Rhinolophus ferrumequinum: one gene and its partners. The protein of the gene in region 2 purifies or fractionates together with the protein of the main gene of each other region. This does not show direct contact. Links are inferred from orthologs where the notes say so. Each region holds a gene or a part of one and is shown on either strand. Other genes may lie near its edges. The genes, in order: IRF2BP1, IRF2 and IRF2BPL.

Region 1 (3,741 bases), on a different chromosome or scaffold from region 2:
CTTCTCAAGGAGGGGGGCACCTCTCCCCCAACTACGAGCAGCAGCAAAGCCAAGCCAAGGAGAGGAGAGAAATTGGAGGGGCCAAGGGACCCCCAAACTTCCTCACACAGAAGCCACGAACTCCCCCCCACCCTCAATGCATCTACCCCAGGGGACCCATCTGGGATGAGGAAGGGGGTATGTACACAGGTGGGGGTGGCACTGGGCTGGGTGGGGAAGGGAATAACTTATCCACAGCAGCGGTGGGTGGCAAGGGGGCAGGGAGCAGTAGTGGCCTAGGGGTCCCGTTCTTTCTTAACCTTGATGTCTCCAGCAAGGATGGTGGCGATCTCACCCTGCATGAAGGCCCAGGGGACAGAGGAGCCCACCAGTGGGCACTTGTCTCCACTGGGGCAGTACACCTCGCCAGCGGGGCCCTGCGCTTTTATGAACTCTCGTGAGCAGGGAAAGCAGAACTTGTGTCCGGGCACCGAGGGGCACTGGACGAAGTGGGTGTCTTCCAGACGCTCCCGGCATAGGGTACAGCACAGGGGTGCCCCAGGGGTCGCCCCGGTGCCGCTACCACCTCCGCTAACAGCTTCCGCCCCTGCGGTGGGGCTGACTTCGGCCTCCCCATTGCGGGCCACTAGGCGATGCTGGGCTGCAGGCTGGGCTGTGGAAGAGGCTGCTGGGCTGGCACCCCCCGCACGCCCTGGGCCCCCGCCCCCGCCAGGGTCCTTGGGAGAGTGGCCCAGGGCCTCGGCCACATTCTTCAGTGCGGCGATGGGTGAGGGCACACCAGGGGTCTCAGCGGAGTACGGACCACCGGGAGCCACCCAGTGTCGTTGCTGCTGCTGCTGCTCCTCGGTGGTCATCTTCCCAGCTGCCTCGCCCTCAGGCTCAGGGGATGCCTTGCGACGGCGTGCTGTGGGCGCCAGGTTGCGGGATGGGGCTCGCGGGGGTGGGCCACACAGAGCTGCAGGAGTTGGCTCTGGGTACTGCTGGGGCAGGGCCTCGGCGGGAGCTGGCTCTCGGAAGGTGCGGACACCATCGGTTAGCAGCTCCCCCAACTGGCGCCATTCCCCAGAGCCGTGCCGGCGTTCATATTCGAGGTACTTGAAGCCCGAGGAGGCCAGCGCCTTGCCAGGCTCCCGCAGAGCATCATGAAACATCTGGCGTGCTACGGCCAGGACTCCTGCGTACACGTTGCCAGAACCACAGGGATATTCGGTGAAGAGCTTCAGCTCAAACTCATAGCCTGGTGGGCGAGCAGTGGCATCGAAGGCAAATACCCTCCCCACCAGCCCGTGATCCTTCTTGAAGCGGACATTGAAGGGGGCGCAGGCAGACAGCGCCAGCAGCTGTTCCCGCACTGCTTTGGGGCGTCCGTGCCACTCCTCCGCCCTGCCCCGCATGGCTTCGTTCAGTTCTGCCAGACAGTCTGCATTCCTCTGCTGCTTCTCCTTCTCGAAATCGGAGCCGAAGATTGGACGGGCAGGACTCAAGCCGGGTGCCAGCGTCAGACCCCGGCTTCCCAGGCCAGACACCGCAGCTGCCAGCAGCCCGGGGGGCACCAAGCCGGGCATGGAGCCAAGCAGGGCCCTTCGAGCCCCCTCCGCCACGACGTCCTCACGGCCCAGTCCATTGGCCAGGCGGGACCCCAGGGTGTACTCCAGAGCAGGCGAGGGCAGGGGGAGGCGGCCCGATGATGTGGCCCTGTCATAGCGGTCCTGTCCCGAGACGCCGCCGCCAGTCCCCGACGGCTGGGGCTGTGCCTGCGGAGGCGGCAGCTGGGGCCCCTGTGCGGCGGCCGCAGCAAGGTCCTTGGTGGCCGGGTGCTTGAGGGCCGGAGGCCCAGGCGAGCGGCCCTCAGGGAGCACGTGGCTGCGCTTGAGCTGGCGGGCAGCGTCGATGAGTAGCTCGATGCGATCCGCGCCCTCAAAGTTCACGCAGCCGCGACACACGGCCTCGCTGAAGTCCCACACCATGGCCCACGGCATCTTGGGCAGGTCGCACAGGTAGCACCACTGGCGGCGGGACGCCTGCACCGACGCCATGGCCCCCGCGCGCGCGCTGCCGGGCACAGCTTTCCACCCGCCGCCGACGTTCGATCCGCGCCGTCAACGTTCGATTTGTGTCCCCAGGACAGCGCGAGCCACGGTCGGGCCTCCGGCTCGGCCTCCCCGCCGATCCAGGCCCGGCCCCCCTTCCCCGCCCCCTGGGCCCTAAGCCTTTTTCCCTCACTCCCGCCTCCTTGAAAAGGCAGGCAGAGGCACGTCGGCGCCCCCGCCAGGTCCAGGCTCTAGGCCGAGGCTCACAGGTCGGGCCCAGCGATGGGCCGCAGGCGCCGCCGCCTCCGGCTCCCGCCGCTCCCGCCGCCGCGCCGCCGCCGCCGCCGCTGCTGCTGCAACGGCCGCCACCGCCTCCACCTCCTTCTGCCCCAGAGGCCGCTTCGCAGGGAAAGTTACATAACGCGCCGGCAAAGCCTTCTGGGAAACGTAGTCCCGCCGGGGCCGGTTCTTAAAGGGGACCGCCAGCAGGCAGCCAGGGGCGGGGGAGGTGGGAGGGGCTCGCCGCTTCTCTGCAGGGCAACGCTTACCGATCCTCGCCAAAAGCAGGGAGTTCGACGCGTTCCGTGGAGTTCGGACACAAGGGTTGGGGGCAGGAACTACCACGGTTTCAGAAATTGTATGGGATGGACAGGCTTCCGCGCGCCCAGTTTCTGCTCCCACTTGCTGCGCAGCTTTAAGCAAAAATATTGCCCACTCTGAGGTTCAGTTCCCCGCCCATTAAAAGTAGGCCAGTGACTGGTTAGGAAGGCAGCCGCTCCTGCGGCGGAGCGGAGGAACCCTGATTGGATGGTTTCTGGATAGGGGACGGGAAGCTGGCAACTTGGTGATGGTGGTGAAGGTTTACTTGTAACTACATCTTCCCTAGAATCTTGGGTATCAGACTCTGACCCGGGCCGGCAATAGCCAGAGAAAAGAGAGGACTGAAGACCTCTGCGCCAAGCCTCTGCCTCAGTTGCCTCATCTGCTAAAGGGAGTAGTCGAGCGCCCCTCAACTGTTCCAGCTTTGTGGGCGCGCTCTGGTATCCAAAGGGTTACATTGCCAGTTTCTCCGCCCCCTAACTTCACTACAATTCCCAAAATGCTCTATGGGGCGGACAAACTGACGCACTTCCGCTGCCTGGGAGGTTGGGGGGGGGTGCTCCCCAGTTCCCGCTGCCAGTCCTACTCCCGACCCCTACGCCGGTTTTTTGGGGGCTCTTTCCGTGTTTTTCGAGCACGGAGTTGAGGGGATCCCCACCCTCTACTGCTCCCTAATTTGGGGGAAGGGAAGGAGGCCAAAGATGGCAAGAATTGAGGTGGGGATCATTTCTGTAAGATAGCAAGCTCCAGACCACCTTTCTCCAACCTTGAGTGCTTACTACCTGATAGGCCCAACCAGGCTCCGGAGACCATCATGTTTTTTCCTTCCTGTGTCTGGTCCAGTGCAAGGTGGGCTGGGGCCGGAAAGACAGGTCTTCAAGTTCTAACCCACATCAGCGTCTTCCTAAGCCTGGGCCCGTGTTAGGAAATACTTATCTTGTCAGAATTGCATTAGTGTTTTTCAAACTAATCAGGTGCTGCCTACTCACCTCTCCTCCATCACACTGCAACCATAGCAGCTGATTTTGTTACCCACCTGTATGTTTTTAACATCCTGTGAAAAAAAATTATCAACTTTTGCCTCATCCTAAGCAATGTGTACAATCATGGG
Region 2 (3,741 bases):
TCAAGACCATCCACCTTCGGTACTCCGTCTGTCTCCAGACCCCTGTCTACACCTGTCCTGGAGCACCAAAAAACTGCAGGTTGCTAAGTTCCAATGGTATTTGAAATCGGTCTGAAAAGTTATAAATGACTGCAGGCTTGACAGCAACCTTGGTTGATTCCTGAAAATCCACAACATGAAATGTAACTATCCTCCACCTTCCCTAGCCATTCATCAAAAGCAGACCGAGTCACAGCAACAGGGAGGCCAGTGGCAGAAGGCAAATGTCAGCATTTATCCTCATATAGAAAGGCTCTGCGTTTTCTCATTCCCTAACCAAGGACAAGGAGCCCTACCTACTACCCATACTGGAGGGAGGAGACTGAAGACGGAAGGAGCGAGTAAAATGTCCCCAAGTTCCAAACTCTGTACTATGGGGTTAAAAAACGAGTGAAAGCCAAGCCGCTAATAGGTGGCAACCTCTAAAGCCAGTCCCAGGGGTGACATTTACAACTGATGAACAAGGGTCCTGCTTACAGCTACTGACCTGGGAGCCTCACCTGGAATACTGACTGGCCCGGAATACTGTCATTGCGCCCGGCTCGGGCTGCCAGCCTCCTTCCTTCCCTTCTTCCCTCTAATGGGGCAAGGAGGTGAAGGCGGCAAACGCACCAAGACCTAGAGCCAAAGAGAGATACCGGTGCGTCCAGGGGAAGGGGACAAGTCACATCCAGAAGCCCTCCGAACTTGGAAAGGCCCCCAGGCCCTGGCACGGAGAGCAGCCGAGGGCTGGCGGGCGCCACGATTGGCCGCGGCGGGCAGCGCTCGGTGGGCGAGCCCCGCCGATTAGGCGGAAAGGAAGTGGCGGCCGCGGCTTTGCACCAACCATGTTCGGCCGGCGGCCGAATGCCACTCGGGCGCCCAGAACGGGGTCGAAGGGCGCGGGGCGGGCACTCACGTCCGCACCCCGCCGCGGCCTGTGCCCCAGGTTACCCAGGGGGACGCTGGTCCCCCGAGCCTGCCAGCAGGGCGCCGCTCGGTCCCCGGAGGCTCCCCGCCCCCACCTCGCCCGCTCCGTAGCCGAGGCGGGTCAGGCCCAGCGCGCGAGGCCGGCCTGGGGGCGCCTGCAGGGACCCGGACGCGCCTGGCGCTAGGCCGCGCCCGAGCAGTTGACCGCTAGGCGCGGCGCCCTCCCGGGACGCACCACCCGAGCCCCCCGCGCTCCGGGACAAGTGCAGTGACAAAGCCCCAGGGCCAGGCTGGGCGCTGGCCGGCGGGAAGGAGGGCGCGGTGTCCCTCCCGAGCGGCGGCAGCGGTGGCCCAGCCCCCAGGAAGCCGGGCGCGCCGGCGAGGCCCGGCGCCCAGCCCCGCTCCGCGCCCGGCCGCCCGCTCGGGCCGCTGGCACCCGACGCCCCCGACCCTTCCCCGAGCTCGGCGTGCGGGCGAACCCTGAGACTGCCCCGGGCCTCCCATCAAGTTTCCTTTGACCGCGGCGGGAGGTGCCTCTCCCTCCAGGGCTCAGAGCGCAGGCAGCCGGGCAGCCGGCGGGTTCCTGCTTATTTACACTGGAGGCTGCCTGCAGCGAGGCGCCGCTGCCGGGCACCGAGAAGGACCTGCTCCCCTGCTTCGGACCTGGAGGCGACGGCGTCTGTTAACACGCACACGCACACACTCGTACACGGTAATTCTGTTGTAAAAGGAGGCCCGAGTCCAGCGGACCAGTACCACCCCCCACGAACACACACACAACACCTGGGGCGCAGAATCACACAGAGCAGGTCTGTGTCCATGGAGCAACCTTTCTGCATCTGCAAATCCAAAAGTGAAATTAAACCTCCACCGACCTCCTCCTCCTCCTCCTCCCTCCCTACCTCCTCCTCCTCCTCCTCGCAGCCTCAGCGGACCCAGTAGCAGCAGCAACAGCAGCAGAACCTGTCTCCCCTAAAATCAGATGATCCATAACAGCGCCTACTGTTCCTCCGAAAATCGGTATTAATATTTATGAACCCCAGCATTCGTAGTCTGCAAAACATCGTGTCAAAACATCAGGACACCCACACACATAGCCCCTCCAGGTCTCATAAACATGCCCTCCAGAAACACACACACGCACAGTCACAACTATTATTTGAAAAATGTTACCTCTCAGGGTGCTTTGTCACGCTACCAATACAATTCCGCAAGGTTTAAGTGTTGCTAGGGTGTATGAAATGGAAATGAAAGCCCGTCAGTTGAATAATCGCAGGAGCAAAACTAAAAGTTACTCCCCGGCTTGCCTGAGAACAGTCCAGATCGAAAGCAAAACAAGGAGAGGAAACTGCGAAGAGCCGAGGCTGGAAATCCCCCCACCCCCCGCCCTCCTCCCTGCCTGCCTCCCTCCCTCCTTTGCTCCCTCCCTCGCCTCCACTCTCCGCCCTCCTCAGTCCGCCCTTCCTCCCCAGTGTTTGTTTCAAGCTTGTGCAACCAGGAGGTGGAGGCGGAGGGAGGGCGAGCCGCCCCGCCGCGAGGTGCGGAAGTTCGCCGCCGCTGTTCATTGGCAGGCTGCGCGGCTTTCATCATTTCTCGAAAAGTCAATTTCATTTTCACTTCCCCATGTCACGGCAGCGGGAGCAACAAGCGGCTGCTCGTGAGTCTGTGGTTCGCACACCGGCGCGCTCACACTCGCCGCTCGAACACTCGAGTGGGGGGTGGGGTCCGGAGGTGACAGGGCGCAAACTTGGGTTCAGGCCAGAAGCTAGTGGCTCTAGGAGAGGGAAGCATCCTAAGGGTTGTCTGAAGGTTGGGAAGGAGGGAGGACGAGGGCTTCCGGGGAAGCAAAGGGTTGTTGCTATCTAGTTGGTGGGGCAGGTGTAACTGGTGTTTAGCACCGCTGTTTTCAGAGTGCATAAAAATTCACTCTGTAACACTACCCACTTAAGAGTAACAAAAGGAACAATTAACCGACAAGACTTAGATATTAATGCAAGAACCGGGTCAAGTGACTGGCTTCCTGAATCTTATTTGAAACCTTATCATAATTGAGGGTGTAACCCTTTGAGGAGCTGCTGCCATCTCTACCACCACCTGGCGCTCAGTTTTCCACCTAGGGCGATAAGGAAGGCCTTTCCCTGGTAACTCAATAGCTGCACACTCCAAGACTGACATCGCCTGTGCAACATAAGTTACCTTATTGCAGGATGAGATGTGAGAATTTTAATTAAAGATGTCTTGGTCATGGCTGGTACAGAAGAGAGACTTTATACTGTAGTACTTCCAGCTAGGTTCAAATTGGCTTCCTTAAGGTACTAGTTGGGCATCCTTGGGCAAGTTGCTTAACCTAAAGGCTCAGTTTTCAATGCTGTGAAATGGGGATAAATGAAAGAATGCACGAATACAGGTACAGTGCCTGTCACCTTAAGGTATCTTAGCCCAAACTAATACAATTCACTTGGGACCTACTGGGTTTTTGCTCCTTTACTTTAAAACCATAAACTCCCGCATCTAATTTTACCTGTTTCTTTCCCTCACTTGCGCCTTTATCAGACTTCTCTACCCAAACTTTTCTATCCAGAGGAAGTCCTTTCCTGAGATGCCATAGCTATTTATATGTAAACATGTCTTTAAAATCAACTCCAACATCCCTCTTTGTCACAAAAGTATTGAATTCTATGGACTGGAAAAAGAGAAGTACCCAAATATGCAGATGCAATGAGGAGACAGGTGAGAGTTAAGGATTCTGTTTTGTGGTGGTCTCAGCAGTAGCTCTCACATACATTTCTTATC
Region 3 (3,741 bases), on a different chromosome or scaffold from region 2:
GAAAAACCTCTCACCTGTTTGGCTTCTCCAGCACTTCCCCTCCCTGCCCCCAACTGCAGCTGTGCGCAGCCAGTTGACTGTTTTTCCTTAAAGGCCTCTGGGTGCTCGTAGCTTCTTTAGACACTCAGCCAAAATTTTTAGACTGAGGCTGGGGGGAGAGGGTAACTCACCCCGAATTCATTTTGGCTCCATCGCTTAAGCTCAGGTTCTAGACCAGGGCACAAAACAAATCGGAAAGGCAGTTTCTGGAAGATTGGAAAACAGCTAATTTTGCAGGTGCTTCAGCATTAGTGGTAGCAATGAATGTAAATCCATACTGGGGGAAACGGTTTGACTGCAGATGAAACGGGTAATACCCTATATGAAATTCACAGCGAAAATTTGAAACAGGGCATTTAAATTCACTGCCCGAGGTGGGGTGGGGTGGGGGAGGAAGCGGGATCAGAAAGGACGCTGGTGGTTTTTAAATGCGTTTTTACTTGGGAAAGCCGGGCGGGGAAAGTAAAGGTCATCGTCTGTTTAATTTCCACCCCCAGCGCTGGACTTCCAGCATTAGCTCGGAAGGCCTCAGCTGTTGTACACACTCGGCGAGGGGGGAGGGGAGGGCGGAGGCGGGGAGGAGGGGCCCACCGAGAGGAATCTGGGCATCCAGCCGCGCATGCGCCTTTTCCGAGCAACAAGTGGGCTCTACAGAGGAAGTGTAAAAGCCGAGGGTGGGGGGGAGAGCTGGTGCAGAGCATGGCGGTGACGTCAGCGCTCCGCCCGGGCGGCATCCCGCGCGGCCAAGCCGGGGACAGCGCGAGCCGCAGCGCGAGCGGGAGCGCCGAGACGCGCCTCCGGAACGTAGAGTAACAATCACAACCCCACATTCCGGGCGAGTGCGAGCGGGAAGGGATGCGACCCGGGCCCAGGCGCCGCGTGAGCGCCCTGCAGCCAACGTGAGCGCCGCCAGCCGGTGCGGCCCGGGTGCCGGCCAGGCCTGGGGGCGGCGGGAGCCTGCGTGCGTGCGCTCTTCTCTGCTCTCGTGCGTCCTGGAAGCAGTGGCCGCGGTGGCTCCCTCCGGCCGTGCAAACCCAGCCGCCGCCAGCGGAACAGCCGACGCAGCGGAGGAGAGAAGCTCCTCTCTCGGCTCCCCCTCCCTACCCCAGCCCTGGGAAGCAGCGATTTCAGCAAGATTGGACCTGGGCACCGGGTGGCACTGCACCCTCTAGCCCTCGCCCCAGGGAGCCTGGCGGGGAGAGGACGCAGCTCGTAGGGGGACCCCCAGGGGAGAGGAAGAGACAGCCCCTTTCGAGCTTCCACGCACCAGCCTCTCCGGGGAGGGGGCCAAGAGCCAACGGCGGTCAGTACCCGGCACCCTCGCCCCCTCCCCCCGGTCCTGGAGCCTCCAGCCCGGGTCCGGGGCACCAGGAAGAAGGCGCCTGAGCTCCCCTCCCGACGAGACAGCCGCAGTAGGAGGTGGGGGCGAGGAGCGGGCTGAATTCGGCCGGTGGAGCCCCCGCAGAGAGGCGCAGCGCCGGCGGTGGAGACTCGCGCTCTCCCTCCAGCCCCTGGGGCAGAACTTTCTCGCCCCCCCCACACCCCCCCGCTTCCCCCGCTGCCGGACTCCCTCCCCAGCCTGCTGGTCCTCCCAGAGGAGAAGGCGCCGCGGAGACAGCCCGGGCGGGGGCCTACCTTTCTCAGGGCTGGCAACATGTCGGCGGCGCAGGTGTCCTCGTCCCGGAGACAATCCTGCTACCTGTGCGACCTGCCCCGTATGCCCTGGGCCATGATCTGGGACTTCTCGGAACCCGTATGCCGCGGTTGCGTCAACTACGAGGGCGCCGATCGCATTGAGTTCGTGATCGAGACCGCGCGCCAGCTGAAACGGGCGCATGGTTGCTTCCAGGACGGCCGCTCCCCCGGGCCGCCGCCGCCCGTCGGGGTCAAGACGGTGGCCCTGTCGGCTAAGGAGGCGGCGGCGGCGGCAGCAGCGGCGGCGGCGGCGGCCGCGCAGCAGCAACAGCAGCAACAGCAACAGCAACAGCAGTCGCAGCAACAACAGCTTAACCACGTCGATGGTTCTAGCAAGCCTGCGGTGCTGGCAGCCCCGTCCGGCCTGGAGCGCTACGGCCTCAGCGCAGCCGCCGCTGCCGCCGCCGCCGCCGCGGTGGAACAGCGCAGCCGCTTCGAGTATCCGCCACCGCCGGTGAGCTTGGGAAGCAGCAGCCACGCCGCGCGGCTGCCCAACGGCCTGGGGGGCCCCAACGGCTTCCCCAAGTCGGCACCGGAGGAGGGACCTCCGGAGCTGAACCGCCAGAGCCCCAACTCGTCCTCGGCGTCGGCGTCGTCTCGGCGCGGGACGCACGGTGGGCTAGTGACGGGGCTGCCCAACCCGGGGGGTGGCGGAGGCCCCCAACTCACGGTTCCCCCCAATTTGCTGCCGCAGACGCTGCTTAACGGCCCGGCCAGCGCCGCCGTGCTGCCCCCACCACCACCCCACGGCCTCGGCAGCCGTGGGCCCCCGACGCCCGCGCCCCCAGGGGCCCCCGGGGGCCCCGCTTGTCTCGGGGGCGCGCCGGGCGTATCCGCCGCGTCGTCTTCGGCATCGTCTTCGACCTCGTCGTCGGTGGCCGAGGTGGGCGTGGGTGCTGGCGGCAAAAGGCCCGGCTCGGTGTCGAGCACCGACCAAGAGCGTGAGCTGAAGGAGAAGCAGCGTAACGCCGAGGCCCTGGCGGAGCTGAGCGAGAGCCTGCGCAATCGCGCGGAGGAGTGGGCAAACAAGCCCAAGATGGTCCGCGACACGCTGCTCACGCTGGCTGGCTGCACACCCTACGAGGTTCGCTTCAAGAAGGACCACTCGCTGCTGGGCCGCGTCTTCGCCTTCGACGCTGTCTCCAAGCCCGGCATGGACTACGAATTGAAGCTATTCATTGAGTATCCCACGGGCTCGGGCAACGTGTACTCCAGCGCATCTGGGGTGGCCAAGCAGATGTACCAGGACTGTATGAAGGACTTCGGTCGGGGTCTATCCTCCGGCTTCAAGTATCTGGAGTACGAGAAGAAACACGGTTCCGGGGACTGGCGCCTCCTTGGAGACCTGCTGCCCGAGGCCGTGCGCTTCTTTAAGGAGGGCGTGCCCGGCGCCGACATGCTGCCCCAGCCCTACCTGGACGCCAGCTGCCCCATGCTGCCCACGGCGCTGGTGAGTCTAAGCCGCGCCCCCAGTGCACCCCCGGGGACGGGGGCCCTGCCGCCCGCCACCCCTTCGGGTCGGGGCACAGCCGCCAACCTGCGCAAGAGGAAGGCGTCCCCCGAGCCTCCGGACTCCGCCGAGGGCGCGCTGAAGCTGGGCGAGGAGCAGCAGAGGCAGCAGTGGATGGCGAACCAGAGCGAGGCACTAAAGCTCACCATGTCGGCCGGGGGCTTTGCGGCGCCAGGGCATGCGGCCGGCGGTCCGCCTCCGCCGCCCCCACCCATGGGACCCCATTCCAATCGGACCACCCCGCCTGAGTCGGCCCCTCAGAACGGTCCATCCCCCATGGCCGCCCTCATGTCGGTGGCAGACACTCTGGGCACCGCGCACTCGCCCAAGGATGGCAGTTCTGTGCACTCCACCACTGCGTCCGCGCGGCGTAACAGCAGCAGCCCAGTGTCGCCGGCTTCTGTGCCCGGGCAGCGCCGTTTGGCCTCACGGAACGGGGACCTGAATCTGCAGGTGGCGCCCCCGCCACCTAGCACCCATCCGGGCATGGACCAAGT

Evidence for each region.
Region 1: the proteins of IRF2 (region 2) and IRF2BP1 purify together in Homo sapiens (affinity purification with mass spectrometry; 4 studies listed by BioGRID and IntAct, counting the BioPlex papers as one, with this or other methods). This does not show direct contact. The link is inferred for Rhinolophus ferrumequinum from reciprocal best matches to the Homo sapiens genes IRF2 and IRF2BP1.
Region 3: the proteins of IRF2 (region 2) and IRF2BPL purify together in Homo sapiens (affinity purification with mass spectrometry; 3 studies listed by BioGRID and IntAct, counting the BioPlex papers as one, with this or other methods). This does not show direct contact. The link is inferred for Rhinolophus ferrumequinum from reciprocal best matches to the Homo sapiens genes IRF2 and IRF2BPL.

What each region holds. Positions count from the first base shown.
Region 1 is NC_046298.1:42,136,076-42,139,816, forward strand, and holds the start of IRF2BP1 (interferon regulatory factor 2-binding protein 1), read right to left. Parts: upstream 2,412-3,741; 5' UTR 2,037-2,411; coding exon 276-2,036; 3' UTR 1-275. UniProt on the Homo sapiens protein: Acts as a transcriptional corepressor in a IRF2-dependent manner; this repression is not mediated by histone deacetylase activities. May act as an E3 ligase towards JDP2, enhancing its polyubiquitination. Represses ATF2-dependent transcriptional activation.
Region 2 is NC_046287.1:77,251,595-77,255,335, reverse strand, and holds the start of IRF2 (interferon regulatory factor 2), read right to left. Parts: upstream 2,318-3,741; 5' UTR 2,122-2,317; intron 805-2,121; exon of another isoform or gene 540-804; intron 1-539. UniProt on the Homo sapiens protein: Specifically binds to the upstream regulatory region of type I IFN and IFN-inducible MHC class I genes (the interferon consensus sequence (ICS)) and represses those genes. Also acts as an activator for several genes including H4 and IL7.
Region 3 is NC_046289.1:22,046,481-22,050,221, forward strand, and holds the start of IRF2BPL (probable E3 ubiquitin-protein ligase IRF2BPL), read left to right. Parts: upstream 1-1,556; 5' UTR 1,557-1,693; coding exon 1,694-3,741. UniProt on the Homo sapiens protein: Probable E3 ubiquitin protein ligase involved in the proteasome-mediated ubiquitin-dependent degradation of target proteins. Through the degradation of CTNNB1, functions downstream of FOXF2 to negatively regulate the Wnt signaling pathway.